2 linked regions of the Notamacropus eugenii genome follow. Each later gene encodes a partner of the first gene's protein in a complex. Links are inferred from orthologs where the notes say so. Each region holds a gene or a part of one and is shown on either strand. Other genes may lie near its edges.

Region 1 (7,208 bases):
CACTCTTTGCATGTTTATATATAGTTCTACTAGTACAACCCAATTATGTGGCAACAAATTCCCCTATCTTTTCTCCTAGTTTTTCCTAATGTATCCTTTCCTCTTCCTTCATTTCCCTTTTTCTTACAGTATTTTCAAAACATAGTAAAACTATCTATAGGTCTTCTGTCTCAATTGACTACCTCTGTGATTCCTTGTGACATCAGGGTTTTGAAAGAACTTTTCGAATACCTTTCCCATTAGAATGTAAACAGTTTATTCTTATAAAGTCCCTTCTGATTGTTCATTTGTAGTTGCATTTTTATTTTTTTATCCCCTATATTTGTATTTCAAAGTTTCTTTTCAATTTTAGTTCTTTCATTGGAAATGTTTGAATGTCCTCTATTTCATCGAAGATCTATTTTTTCCCTTCTATTATTATACTTAATTATGGTTGGTAATTTTTGGTTATAAACCTTTATCTTGTGCCTTTTGCAATACCTCGTTTCATGTTCTCCATTCCTGTCTTGTGATAATTGTTAAATCTTAAGTGGTCCAGACTGTGGTTTCTTGATATTTGATTTTTATTTTGGCTGCTTATAGTGTTTTTCTTCTGTTTGGAAACTCTGGATTTTGGCAATGACATCTCTTGGAATTTTTTTTAAAGTGTCTTTAGATAGGTCATACATAGGTTCTTTTTTTCCCCTCTCATTGCACTCTTATATGTCCTGACAATTTTTCTTTCTTTTTCCCATTCAATTTTATTTTACATTCAGTTTCATATTTTCTCCCTCCCACTCCACTTTCCCTGCCCTTTGAGAATGTAAGAAATATAAAACCAGGCAATTTTTCTTTAATGATTTCTTGAAATGTGATCAGGTAATCTTATGATTCTTAAGTTATCTCTCAATCTGTTTGTGATATGAGATAACTTATATTTCTTCTATTTTTTAATCCTTTGACTTAAAAAAAAAAGAATTCTTGTCCCTTAGAGTCATTAATTTCTATTTTTTCCATTCTGATTTTTAAGTTTGTTATTAGGTAAGTTTTCATCTCTCTTCTGTTAAGCAGATGATCCTATTCCCAAATCTTTCTTCCATATCTCTCATTTCTCTTATAATACCTTTTTTAAATTCTTACATCAGTTTCTCTAAAGAATTCTTGTTGTTCTTATAGGCATACTGTTTTTGTTTCTTTGAATCTTTGATTATAGATGTTTTTAAATTATTCTCTTCTGCCACATTTGCATCTTGGTCATCCTTGGCATCATAAAAGAATTTTATTACTTTTTTTTGTTTACTTATTTTTGTTGCTGAGGCTTCAGCAGTTGAATTCTATGTCTCCAGGGATCAAATCAAATTGAGGATCCTTCCTGTGTTTAGGCCAGACTTTCCCTTTCCTGGGGTTGTGGTTTCAGCTCATGTCTTTTCTTCCATCATAGATACCCACCTTTTCCTTTTTGCCTTGGATCAGCTTTGGTTGAAGTTTGTTCCTTTACATGAGGAGAGAGAAGAAGAAGAGGCCGTTTCTTTACTTCTTAGTTAAATCCAAGGTTGCCTTTCTTTGGTGGAAGAGACCTAGTTGAGACCTGTTCTTTGAGAGGGAGGAGGAGAGAGGAGGAACTTTATTTTTATTTATGTCAGCTAAAGACCTCCCCTACTTTTTTCCTCCCCACCTAAAAACAATGGGAAACCTTTGCAGAGGCTGTTTTTATTTACAAAGGATTTTTTTTTTAAGTTTTTCTTAGAGTAGTGCAGAAAGTCTTTCAGTTTTCTTTCTTACAGCTGAGTACTTCTTCTTCACCTGAAGACTTTTACTTTCATCCCTTAGGGGATCTGGATATTTACTACTCTTCTAAGGGATGAGTTGGTTAATCAGATTGTTTAGTGATAGTATAGAACTGATCTCTACTTTTTTCCTTCTACTTTGACATTTTGGTTTCTTGAATAAAAAAGACATGCCTTTTCTAGAGGTGGCTTGGTAGTGCATTGGACAGAGTGCTGGACTTGGAGTTAGGAAGACCTAATTTCAAATTCTGCTTCAGATATATATATTCACAGACATACATATATACATACACACATATGTATATATATATATATGTATATATATAGGTAGATAGATAGATAGATAGATAGATAGATAGAGTTAGCTGTGTAATCTGCAGACCTGAAGGTGGACTTTTTTCATCTGTAAAATGGGGATAATAACAGCACCTATTTTATAGGTTTGTTGTGTGGATCAAATGAGACAATATATATACATATATGTCACTTTGTAAAGTAAAGGCTATATAAATGGTAGCCATTATTATTAAAGGAGAACATAATGATAATTGGATTCTATTTATCAGAATAAGATGGGGAAATGGAGTAGATGGGGAAATGGGAGGGTGACAGGAGATCCTTTTGGGGTGGCCTTAAGGCAGAAAATGTCCTGGGTGAAGGTGAAGACCAATGGTCCCAAGGAGCACAAATCCCAGTGACTTAGGTCCTCCCAGACATGCCCTCTAGTATTCCAGTTTGGAAGTTAACATTGTCTCAAGCACCTCTCTCTCCTTCCCCCTCTCCCTGTACCCCAATGACTAGCAAAGTGTTTGGCCCATAGATACTTAATAAATGATTGTTGATTAATTGAATAGAAGGAAGCTACAAGGATATTGATTGCCAGTTAGTCAACTAGTGTTTGTTAAGCACCTACCATGTGTCAATGCTAAGTGCTGAGAATGAACAGAAAGGCAAAATCAATCAATTTATCTAAACCTATCTATCTAAACCCTCAAATAGAAGGAACAGATCTCTAACATTTTAAGCTGACCAGCAGTGGTACAGAATGGTTCCAGGTAAAGAACTCGTCATTAGAAGGGCAAAAGAGATGACTCCATCAATAAAAAAAAAATAGAGGAGGCTTCTTGCACTTAGCAGAAAGTTAAAGCAAGAGATGTCTAAGATCCTTTCAACAGGTTCTCTCATTTAGGTTCAGAAACCCTTTTAAGAGGCTTTCTTGCTTTGCCCACTATGTAAGGTTCCATGTTTTCTGTTTGGAATTCAGTTACTACTTCAGTTTCTTCATCCCTAAAATGGGAGGGGGGGTTGGACTAGATGACCTCAGATACCCCTTCCAGTTCTTGAGCTATGATCTTATGACTTAAAAACACCTTTTTCATCTTTTCAATTACTATTTTAAAAATCCCTTCCTTCCCCTGTCACTCCAGACAACCAGGCTGTCTGCCCCTCTCCCCTTTATAAATATTGTTCCATTGGATCCTCACAACAACTCTGGGAGGCGGGTACTTTTATAAAGCTCGTTTTACAGATGAGGAAACTGAGGCAGGCAGAGGTTAAGTGACTTGCCCAGGGTCACCCAGCTAATGAACTCACATCTTTCCCCCTCGGGCTAGGGCCACCTACCTGCCCCACCCCAGAGAGCATGCAGTCTACATCTCTCTTCTGTGTTGCTCATGCAGTATCCGGAGTGGGTGCCATCAGCCTGTGAGCGCCACGAGGACCCGGACTCTGTCTCTTCTAAACTTTCTGTTTTCCCCGGCACTCACTCTGCACGCAGTAGATCCATATTACATGTCAGTTGAATGAATGAATGAGTGAATGAATGGAATGATCCAAAGAAAATGGAAGCATCGGCCATTCAGGTAGCTCCTGCTAGGCTACTGGGCAGCAAGGCAGCCGGCAGCCTGTAGGGGCTGGGTGTTCCAAGGGACGCGTGTCAACGCTCCGCTCCCAGTCTTTTTCACGTTTGTCCCCTTAGCTGTCACTCAGGGAGGGGTGGGCCCGAGAGAAACGGGGGGAGGAGTCTGGAAGGGGCGTGACTATTATTTCTAGGTGACCAGTGAGACAAGTTTCGGAGCTTGAGTAGGTGGGGCTACGCGCCATGGGGCGGGGCCCGCGGAGGAGAATCCAAGGCGGGGCCTGAGCTTGTCAGAGGTTGGAGGGAAGGCCTCTCAGGGCAGAGAGGAGGAGCCAAGGACGTTCCGATTGGGCGGTCCAGGGGTCGCTAAGGAAACGTGGCGCGCGGCCGCTAGGGGGTGGGGGAAGCCGGATTCGGCGTCCTTGGGAACCGGGCGGGTCCAGTCTCGGAGGGAGGCGGAGCCATGAGGGGGCGGGGCCTACGGGAAGCGAAGAGAGGAGGAGGGAGCGGCGAGAGCTGTCAGCTGACCACGCCGCCATCTTGTCCGCCATTTGCAATCTGACTGGAGCGGGAGCACTAAGGGAAGAATCCTGCAGGCAGCGAGCCGGCGCCGGTCCAGCCGCCGCCGCCGTCTCCGCCCGCCCCGTGCTGCCTCCGTCTGGGATGTGACGGCCTCCGGCCCGGCCCCCTGCCCTTCTTCCCTCCCTCGCTTCGGAGCGCCCCCGGCGGCAGGCCCAGCCCGGCGACCCCCTCCCGTCAGCCCTCTCCCTCCGCCCCGGCGCCCCCAGCCCCTGCCCCAGGCCGGCTTCGGCCGCCGCTGCCGCCGCCGCGATGGCGCTGAAGATGGTGAAGGGCAGCATCGACCGCATGTTCGACAAGAACCTGCAGGACCTGGTCCGCGGCATCCGGAACCACAAGGAAGACGAGGTGAGCCTTGCCCCGCGAGCCTGGCCGGGAGGCCCGGGGCCAGGGGCTGCCCCCACGCCCCCAGTGGCACGGCCACGTCGGCTCCTGTCCGGCCGCCGCCTCCCTCCCGCGGCGCTCCGGCTAGCCGGTCTCCGCCCCCGTGGCGGGCGCCTTCCTCATCCCCCCGCCACATTCAAGGCCCTTCTGAATCCGAGTGTGTGTGTGTGTGCCCGTGTGTCCGTGTCCCCGATGCTCTGGTTGGGCATCCCCGATGTCCCCCTTTGTATAATTCGGAGCTCCTCCAGGTTGACCACCTCTGATCTATGCAGTTACTGCACCGTGCATTTATCGAGCGCCTGTTGTGTGCAGGGCGCTGCTCAGAAGTGTGCTCAGGGCTGTGAAATCCTTCCCGGCCCCTCCGAACCCCACCCGTCCTTCCCCCAACGCCCCGGGGTCTTGGATGGTTTCATTTCTACTCTCAGGTCTGGGCAAGGACTCCAGGCGAACCCCGAGCTGAGCCTCACTGGGGGTGCGGGGGACACGGGGAGCCTTTAGGAAGCTCTCCTGCCCGATCTAGTGACCCTCCCCGGGAGCGCTTTCCTGGTCTGCCGCCGGAGAGTTATCCCCGATAATTCAATCAAAGTTGAAATAAGGAAGAAGACGAGGGCCTGCCGCAGTGGGGCCTTGGGAGTGGAAAAGTGGACCTCAAAGAAGCCGAAAATAGGGTGTGGGGAGGAAAAGAGTGCATGTGACTTCAGCCGGCCCTAAACTGAGACCGAGAAGGGGCTTGCACGGCAGGGGCTCAGTAAACATGTGATGGGATGTATGAAAAAAAGTGGCAACAGTATCATTGAATGTATCCACCTTGTAAACTATTCCCGAAGCGTCCTTAAAAGGCAAAACCGTTTTCTGTGCTCTGGATGACTGGTGTCAGTTTGAATATCTCGACATCTAGTCTTACAGGACTGTTATTGAACACTTCAAAAGACTGAGATATTATCATCTTTGCATTTTGTTTGCCTTTCTTGTTTGATTCTCATTTATGAGACAGTTACAAGCCCGGTTACAAATGTTGAGAAACTGTTAGAATCCTGCTATTGTGGTTTTGGGGAAAGGAACTAAGTAAGGATCAGTTTCAGTGGAGTTATTGTTTCTCAAGCACTGTTGTCTGAAATCCTGCCACATTCTGAAAAAGCTCACTGTTGAGGACAGTTCATTTTCCTCTTCTTTACTCAAATTGAGGGGGAAAAAAAACTGGTAAGGAGTAGTCCGGTATCTGCAATAGTTTACAAGATGTGATTTGCTTTTTATGATACCTGCCTATCCTAAGGCTTTTTAGGAAGGGTAAAGATAAGGAACAGGTATTTAATTTCTTGTAGGAATTATTGTTACATGTATAATATTGACAGATAAGGTGGAAATTCCCTTGGGATATGCCACTTTGTTTCCATTTATGTACGCTTTTCTATATTTTGATGTCATTTAGAGAAAAATGAACTGAACTCAAAAGAAACTGGTATTTTTTGCAGCTTGGGTAGAGTCTATATTTTATATCCATGACTGCATTATTTGTTAAGGGACCAGCTGTCTGATGTACTTTAAAAACACCTTCTAACTTTGACTGAATTGAAGGAATATAGTGGGAACATCTCTCCAGAACCCCTTAGGTGCAGCTTACCTGACTGCTTGCCAGCACTCTTCATTGCAGGTTCCCATCTGACACCTGTCAGTTGATTCCAGGAAACGGTACCAGAGTCAAGCACAGTTGGAGAGCTCTTCAGGAAAAAGACTTGTTGAGTCCAGATCCAGCCTAGATCATCTTAGCCTCTTGAACACTAGAGTGGGAGAGAGGGCTAGCTGAGGACAGGATAGGATGGGACTGAGCTGGGAGCTGGGGTGCATGTGCCATCCATTGTCTTGTCGCCACTCTTGATACCTGTCATTTCAGTTGCAGTAGTAAGAACTTCCATGAACTCCTGTTTGTTTTGTCTAACATGGGTGAAGGGAGGGCTTTATCAGTGTTCCATCCTGTACTCCTCCAGCTTCTAAAACAGTGGAAGAACAGGATGCTCTGAACAGTGTTGGCAGCATAGAGTCAAATAACTGGAGGGTATCTTTGAGATCATCTTGTTCAAGTCAAACATCTTAATCTCCTTCCTGCTCATACATCAGTTAAAGCTATGGTTTTGAGTCAGCTGCTCTGTCTCTCTTAAGTCTTCTCTTCTTCAAAATAAACACTCCCAAGTTCCGGGAAATATGAAAATTGCTGAGTTTCACAGATTCTTGAGTTGGTTATTAACTCCCCATCATTAGTCTATGTGCTTTTTGAGTTTTTCTAGCTATGTTTATATTTTTTAATTAATAAAACAAAAGAGTAATGACCCCTCAGTGAAGAAATGCATATTCTGGTATTTGTGATTTAATCATTCCCCTTCCAGACTAATTATAATTAGTAGCTTCGAGTAATGGAGTTTTTGTTTCCAAGCAAACTTAATCGACAGTTAGGTATAGTGAAATTGTTGAGTTGGGGTGCAGGACTGAGTAAAGAAGTAAAGCATATCTATTCATTGAATGATGGACATGACTTTGGGCACCTTAGGAACTTCAGGAAAAATATCTTTTTTTCCAGAAATTTTTACTTTTTTATTAGAAAATATTGTTTGGAAACATCATTTTCT
Region 2 (7,884 bases), on another chromosome or scaffold:
CCCTACACGACTATAATAACATCCCTTCAATGACTTCCCAATGCCCACTGCACTGTGGGGTAGTAGGTAAAAACACTGGACTTGGAAGACTTGGGTCTGAATTTTATTTTTGACACTTACTAGTGTCTAGGTTTTAATATATTCTCCAGTAGGAATTATACTTGCAAAATCTTCTAACAGTGTCTTCTAATATGAAATACTCCTGTGATCTTACCTTTCCAATTTCTAGTCTGATCACTCCTCCAAACACAACTACTGGCACAACTTCATGCTTTCCCCTCTCTCCACTCAGGATAACCCCCCACCCTTGTTAGAATCCTACCCATACTTCAAAGGTTCCCTCTGAAATCACTTAATGGGATTGGTTCACATTGCTTACAGGACACCTAGCATGTCCTGCCTCACGCTACAAAAAATAGTACATTTTAAGCACTTTCATGCAGAACACTAATGCACACAATTGAGAAGATGTAAAGTTTTGATAAAGACAAAGCTTGGGTTTCAAGGCGTTTACAATCAAGGAGATAAAACAGTAACAGATATCTAGAACAGGCAATATAATACAGTAGAATCACTGGACTCAGATGTAGGAGAAACCAGGGTCCATATATTATTACCTTTGGCACTTTGACCCTGGGGCAATCACTTTACTTCTCTGTGCCTTAGTTTCCTCATTTGTAAACTGAGCATAATACTTTTAGATCTTTAGAGAAATGAAAATATGTGAAAATATTTTGTAAAATACGAAGTTAGCTATCATAATACATAATTACATAATAACTGTGTGTAATGTTTGAGAATAAAGCATTTCTTATGGAAAGGCTTTTAAAAGAAGGGTGGGATTTCAACTGGTGAAAAAAGTGGGGGAGAACTTTCCAAGTACTAGGAATAGCCTTGCGAGAGACAGCAAAAGTTAAGTTTCCACGGTAAGTTATTGTTAATTGATGAAGCCATTGAGAATAAGTTAGATAATAAGGCGGCCAGCAGACTGCAGGTGGACTCAACCAATCAAAAGACAGACAGTGGCAATCAGAAAATTAGGAAGCTTTGGATAAAGGAACCAAATCTACAGTTAGCTGGAACTAGTCAAGAAAAATGATGTAGAGTTACTGGGCTTGCTTAATGAACTTCATGCATATAAGCAGACACACCCTGCATAAAATTATCCCTCCATTTTCTGATCATGGGTCCTATGTTAAAGCATGTTTGGGGGGAATCACAGTAAGGGGGGGGGTTATGTAATGGGCATGTAGAGAAGATGGTGACCTAAAGGAGGACGACCAATCAAACTCCTGGTGGGAGAATCTGTCTTGAACTAAAGGTATATACCTCATGCATTCAGTGCTCCCTCCTCTTGAAATGAGGGTGGAGGTCCGCTTTGGCCAAAGTGTTCAATTCCTCTGAACTCTGCTGTAATAAAATTTCCTTGACACCTTATTGGTGTCAAGCATGTTTCTAACAGTCTGTACAAACGTACAGTTTTAAGAGTTCAAGTGTTTTTAGGGGTGTGACTCTATGTGTGGGAGCGAGTGAGCCTTTGGAGTGGGAGAGACTGAACTTTTTACTTCACAGGTATTTTTTTGAGCAGAAGAGTGAGTTCCGGCAGTCCTATTTTAGGTCCTGGGAAGGAGAAGGGAAAGATCTGAAGGCCACTATTACAATAGTTCGGGGCTTCACATCCATCCAAGGAAAGCTTACCTGTAAGAGCACCTGGACAGCTCCCCTAGGGCTGCCCTCCTCCCCACCACATCGGGAGCAGAGGCCCTCCATTCCTTTGCTCATCTGACGCCCCTCAGCCTGGGCACTCTGCCTCCGGACTGGGCTGCTCTGCTTGGAATCTAGCCTCTATCTTGCCAGACCCAGACCATGCTTCCCATCTCACCCAGCCAACCTCCAGGGTCTCAAGTCCTTCCTGGAGCTGGCATAGGTTCTGCTGGAGCATGGACAGCCCTTTCCACTCTCATGTCTACATTTCTCTTTTGTTCAATAATAATAATAAACAATTCCACACTGCTGCTGCTATGGTCAAGGGCATGACAAATCAACTAGACTGTCCGTGGGTCAAGCCTTTCTCCAAGGCTTACTTTGTGCCCGAACCTGCTTTCAAGTGTCGCGGAAGATAACGGTCTTCCACAGGTACGTGTATGCGCCGTGTGCTCCGATGCCAGCGGAGCTCCTGGAGGAGGGGCGAGTCACTTCGGCTTTGAGTCTTAGTGTCTCTGTCTGTGAAATGAGAAGACAGCCGGACACTTCTCTACCCCCCCACCTTGACAGTGAAACTAACTGTAAAAGACGGAAAAACGAACGTGTGAGTGTGTGTGTGACACGGTTTTGGGGACGCGCTGGGCAGCGCGAAGAGCCGGACCAGAAGTTACGGGAAGGAGGTCCATGAGGACCCTGGCCAGGGTACAAACACGAGCTCCGGGGCTCCCCCGGAGTCCCACAGACGCAGGGCCGCGAGGTGGCGCAGGGGAGAGAACGTCGGCCCCGGCCCGGAGTTCGGGTGATTCCGAGCAAGTCCAGGACCCTGCCCGTCTCCTCTCCGGTACAGTGAGGATTATAACGATGCCTCCCCCCGGGGTGGCTGGGCTTTGAAACACCGAGGTAAGCGATCGCTAGAATGCTGGCGGCGAGGGTAATAACCAGAACAGGCGTTGGTGCCGGTGTCCCCGGCATATAGCTGGCGCTTACTTAGCACTTGCAGGGTGGATCATTGAGGCACAGAGGTCGCAGGGACGCATCCCTTGCCCGGGCGGGCCGTAGGCCACGTCGAGGGGCCGGTGCTGGTCAGGAGGACCCGGTCGCCTCACCTGCCCCGGGGCGCGTCCCTTCCCCGGAGCGCCGGGTCCCTAGAAGCCGCCCCGCCCTTCCCCGGCGGCGCTGACGAGGGAGTGGGCGGGAGGAGCGCCGCCCCCGGCTCTGCGGACCCCTCCCCACCCCGCTTGACCCTGACCCCGACCGCCGCCCCGATGGCCCGCCTCACTTACCTCGAGGAGCCGGGCGGCCCGAGCTTAGCCCCGGACCCGTTCCGGAAGGAGGCCGCCGGCTCAGAGGCTGCGGCGGCGGCGGCGGCGGCGGCGGGGACCTTGCGGCCCGGGCTGTTTTGCTCACTGCCTGAGAGAGGGCTTCACCGCCGCCGCGCTCAGATCGCCTTCCGAAGGGAATACCTGAGCAGAGCAAAGGTCTCCAAGGGCCTAGAGAGCACTCCATCCCGAGGCAGAAGCTGCGGAGCTGTCGGTCGTATGACTCCCTGCGTTCAGGCGCCAGGGGCTGCCCGTTCGAAAGTTCCTGCCCCTCTCCCGCCAAGGCCCCGCTCGGGGGCGGGGCGAAGACAGCCCGGGAGGCCGCCTGACCTGGGGGCGGGGCGAGCTCTGGGGGCTGAGAGGGGAGGGGCTCACACTCGTGCGGCCCGAAGAGAGGGCACCCTGCGCCGGCCCTTGGGAAGGCCGGGGGAGGAGGGAGGAGAGGGGGCGGGGATTGGGTGTGCCCTCGGACGGGGGAGGGGCGCTTGTGGCCAGGGGCGCGAGAGTAGGGCAGAGAGCGGGAAGATGGCAGCGGCGGACGAGGAACCGCAGGCTAAAAAGCCGAAAGTGGAGGCGACGTCGCATTTGAGGTGAGCGCCGCTGGGCTGGGAGGGGGTGCACGTGGGGGCCGGGAAGAGCCGGGCCGCGGAGCCGCCCCGCGAGGCCCCCACCGGCTCGGAGCCAATCAGCGCGGCCGTGCGAGGGGAGGGGGGGCCAGGCCCGGCCCCACGTGGGCGCTTCGCGCTGCGTCCAGCCCCGGCCCGGCGCAGCGGAGCACTAGACCGGCCGGTCCTGGGGTCCTGGGGTCCTGGGCAAGGTATGCTGAAGGGCGAGAGGACGGAACGGGCATCGCCAGGTCGGCGTGTGTGCAGACCCCGGCCCGCGCTGGCGTGCCCAAAGGGAGAGGCGAGCCGCTGGAGCCTCTAGTTAAACATTTATCTCCGTCGTAATCGCGCTCCCTGTAAAATAATGTTACTTTTTCGTCCGCTCCTCAGTAATAAATGGAATGCTTGCATCCCAAAGCTTCTGGACTTTGAAATCCATAGGCACGCGATGACAGCGAGATTTGGAGCTGAAAACAGGCCCTTCCGACTGTTAAGAACTATCCCATTAAGGCCCGTGTGTGTGTGTGTGTGTATGTATGTATGTGTACGCAGACACACACGTGGATGACAAGAGACTGTATAGATGCCACCCCACCACATACCCTTCTCCACCCATTCTCTCTCAAGTAAGAAAAAGGCAGAACTGTGAACATGCAAACTTGTGGGCTAGAATCTGCTTCCAAGCCAAGAGGGGTGTTCTACTCCTGACTGCACCGGGACCTTGGCAAGTGTCTTAATTTTCCGGAGCTTCAGCATTCAGTAACCAGGATACAGGAATTCAGCCTGCTTCCTCAAGAGATAGGGTCAAACGAGATCCATGGGAAAGCTCTTGGAAACTGTAGGTGTTACAAATGTAGTTGTTGTTCAGTCGTGTCGGAATCTTTGGGACCCCTATTTGGGGTTTTCTTTGCCAAGATTCTGGAGTGGTTTTCCATTTCTTTCTCTAGCTCAGTTTTACAGATGAGCTAACTGAGGCTTACATCGACTTGCACAGGGTCACACAGCAAGTGAGTGTCTGAAGGCTGGATTTAAATTCAGGAAGATGAGTCTTCTTGACTCCAGACCAGGCACTCTATGCACTTGAGCCAAAGTGGAGGGGATAATGTTAAATGATTCATTTTTGCAGGCTTTGAGGGTGATTTTGAAAACTAAGCACCCGGCCCATAGGAGGTGCTTAATAAATATTCATTGATTGATTCAGTGTAGGGTCATTGGAAAAGAACACTGAACCTGGAATTATTCAAATCCCCCATATTGAATATGCACTGGGCAGTGGGCAACTCTTTCAACCTTTCTGGTCACAGTTTCCTCATCCACAAAATGAGGAGGAGTGGACTAGGTGACCTCCTATGGATCTTTCCACCTTTGAGGCCTTCTGACCTGTGCTTTTAGTGATATTTTTGATTACCTTAAAAGTGGGTTCTTAACATTTTGGTTGTTGTTGTTGTGAGCCTCTTTGGCAATCTGGTGAAACCTGTGGACTCCTCAGAATGATGTTTTTAAATAACTGAAAGCAAATGCTGAATTACAGTTGGAAGTTAGTGAAAATAAAAACTTAGGTTTTTTTCCCCCCATGGACCACTTTAGGTGGGGAGGTCTGTGGAACCCAGGTTAAGAACCCCTGCCTTAGGTGATTTCTTATGCCTAGTTTACACCCAGGAAGAAATTGCCACCATCCTGCAGTGTTTTTTAAAAAAGGATTTGGCCAAATACATATTCATAAATCTTATACATTCTAATTATATTAGGTTGTGGGTGGTCTGGTCTTTTTCATATTGTTCAGGGTAACTCTTCTACACTTGTAAAGCCTTTTTGCGTATGTGGCTAACCCTTATTTTTCAGTTCTCATCTCACATGCCTGGCAATGACACCAAATCCTTATGACAGTTACATATAAATCTACCAGACAAAGTTTACAAAGGCCATACCCTGGCTTCTGTGCTCAGCCCTTGCCATGCAAAAATAAGAAACAAACTTTGAACTTGATTGTCAAAGTGCAGAAAACAAATTTCCACCACCCTTGTGTTCTCACTGTGAAGGTAATAAAGAACTTTTTGTGTGGAAGTTCACCTTCAGCTTCCTTTTTTTTCAAATCCACACCAGCGTTTCATCTTGTGGAGTTTTTTGATGTCATTGTAGCGTGGGAGTTTGCAAATGGTGTCATATGCTCTTAGTGCCCTCTTTCCTCTGGATTATACTGCTCATTTCTGAAGGGCGACTTCTCTGTGGCTCCCTCCAAACTACCAGTGATCTCAGTATTCTTTTGACTCAGTGCCTTGGCACTGGCATGCTCTTTCCTCTCCACTTTGGCCTCCTGGCTTCCTACGAGATTCAGCAAAAATCTCACCTTCTGCAGGTGGCTTTTTCCATCTCTCCCCCAAACCACCTTGTACCTTCCCTCTGAGACTACCAGCTGTCACAAATCCATCTTAGATGTCCATGGTTGTTTAGAAGGTGAGCTCCTTGAGGGCAGACTTGTTCTTGTCTCTCTTTGTGTTTAGCATAGTGCTTAACCAATACTTTCTGACTGTTTATTGCCAAATAAAATGACCTCTTATTGGTCCTCATTTTTCTTGACCTCTCTGTAGTATATGACACTTCTGATTGACCACCTCCTCCTGCTGAAGATTGTTTCTTGTAGGTTTTTGTGACAGTGTCTCTCTTGGTTCTTCTGTCCTTATGATCCTTTCTTAGTCTCTTTTGCTTGGATTTTTATTATCCATGTCACACCCACTCTTCTGCTAGGTGGGGGGTGTAGGGAATTTCAGCCTCAAGTGAGACCCTTTGACTGAATCCAAACTTCACAGAACAAATCCCCTTAATAAAATGATTTGATCTGTAAAATTGGGACTCAGTTACAAGCACCCAAGGACCTAGAGGGCCACAGGTTCCCTACTCTTGCTCTAGGCTCTGTCTTTCCTTGACCTCTTCATTTTACTGGGACTGGTTAATGCTAATGTTAATCTCTTCCTTCTGTTGTTGATCTTCCATTTATCTTGTATGGATCTTGTTTCTACCTAGTTGTTTACATATAGCCTCTCCCATTAGACCTTGAACTCCTCAAGAACGGGAACTGGTTTTGGCCATTCCTTTGTATCTCTAGAGCTTAGCTGACCATAGTATGCACCTAAGTGCTAGTTGACAGACTTATCCACCTTCTCTTTTCTCTTATTTCTCTCTCATTTGGTGATCTTATCAGCTCCTCAATGATATGTTCCAAACTGGAACTAAATCTCTTTTCCTCTCACACACACCCCACTTCCAAACTTCACTATTACTGTCAAGGGCACCCTCATCTTCCCAGTCACTCAAGTTCCTGACCTCAGCGTCCCCCTTGACTTCCACTTCCACTTACCTTACCTATCTAGGCATTTGCCAGGTCTTGTAATTATTTTCTCTATGACATTTCAATAATTACAACACAGAGCTGCCAAAATGAATTTCCTAGGCATAGGTCTGACCTTGCCTGTCTTCTCCCTAACCCTTTCATAAATTCCAGTGGCTCCCTGCTACATATGTAAAGCCCTTTGACATTTGAAGCTCCTAACAACCAGGTTCCTCCTTACCTTTCCAGTCTTCTTCGTTCCTGCTTCCCTCCATATACTCTACAATCTAGTCATCCTGGTCTGCTTGCTGTTCTTGGAATGTGAAGCCCCATTTCCCATCCCCATGCCTTTGTACTGGTTGGCCACCAGGCCTAGGGTGCTCTCCTTTCCAAACTCCAATTCTTGGGATCCCTGATTTTCTATAATACTCAGCTAGAGAGCCACTTTCTCTTTTCTCCCTAGCTGCTAGTGCCATTTCCTCTAAGGATACCTAGCATCTCTGTTCTAAACTTGTATGTATTGATGTGTGTGTGTGTATGTGTGTGTGTGTGTTTTGTCTCCTCCATTAGAATATGAACTTGAGAGCAGGATTATTTTTGCTTTTGTTGGGGACAGAGAGGGAACAAGCATTTTTTAAGGAACTAGTATGTTGCAGGCACTGTTAAATGCTTTCAAAATGTCTCCTTTGCTTGTTACAGTAACATGGGAGGTAGGTGCTATTATTATCCCCATTTTGTAGTTGAGGAATTGGAGGCAGAAGTTAAGGGGTTTGTCCAAGGTCACACAGTGGATAAATATCTGAAACCACAATGGAACTCATATCTTTCTGACTTCAGGCCCAGCAGCTCAATCCGCTTCTTTGTATCCCTAGAGCTTGGCACAGTGATAGATGCAATAGTAAGCACCTAATAAAAGCTAGGTGGTGAAGTG

Evidence for each region. The genes of interacting proteins can lie anywhere in the genome.
Region 2: the proteins of AP3D1 (region 1) and AP3M1 are in contact, whole or in part, in a cryo-EM structure (PDB 9C5C), measured with the Homo sapiens proteins. The link is inferred for Notamacropus eugenii from reciprocal best matches to the Homo sapiens genes AP3D1 and AP3M1. Residues at the interface, in NP_003929.4 of Homo sapiens: Lys29, Glu388, Gly389, Thr390, Thr391, Arg393, Glu429, Arg432; in NP_001307192.1 of Homo sapiens: Ser25, Ser27, Asp30, Tyr31, Glu34, Pro52, Asp104.

Annotation. Positions count from the first base shown.
Region 1 is NC_092875.1:64,318,335-64,325,542, forward strand, and holds the start of AP3D1 (AP-3 complex subunit delta-1), read left to right. Parts: upstream 1-4,113; 5' UTR 4,114-4,455; coding exon 4,456-4,551; intron 4,552-7,208. UniProt on the Homo sapiens protein: Part of the AP-3 complex, an adaptor-related complex which is not clathrin-associated. The complex is associated with the Golgi region as well as more peripheral structures.
Region 2 is NC_092872.1:236,273,861-236,281,744, reverse strand, and holds the start of AP3M1 (AP-3 complex subunit mu-1), read right to left. Parts: upstream 3,089-7,884; 5' UTR 2,988-3,088; intron 2,605-2,987; exon of another isoform or gene 2,502-2,604; intron 1-2,501. UniProt on the Homo sapiens protein: Part of the AP-3 complex, an adaptor-related complex which is not clathrin-associated. The complex is associated with the Golgi region as well as more peripheral structures.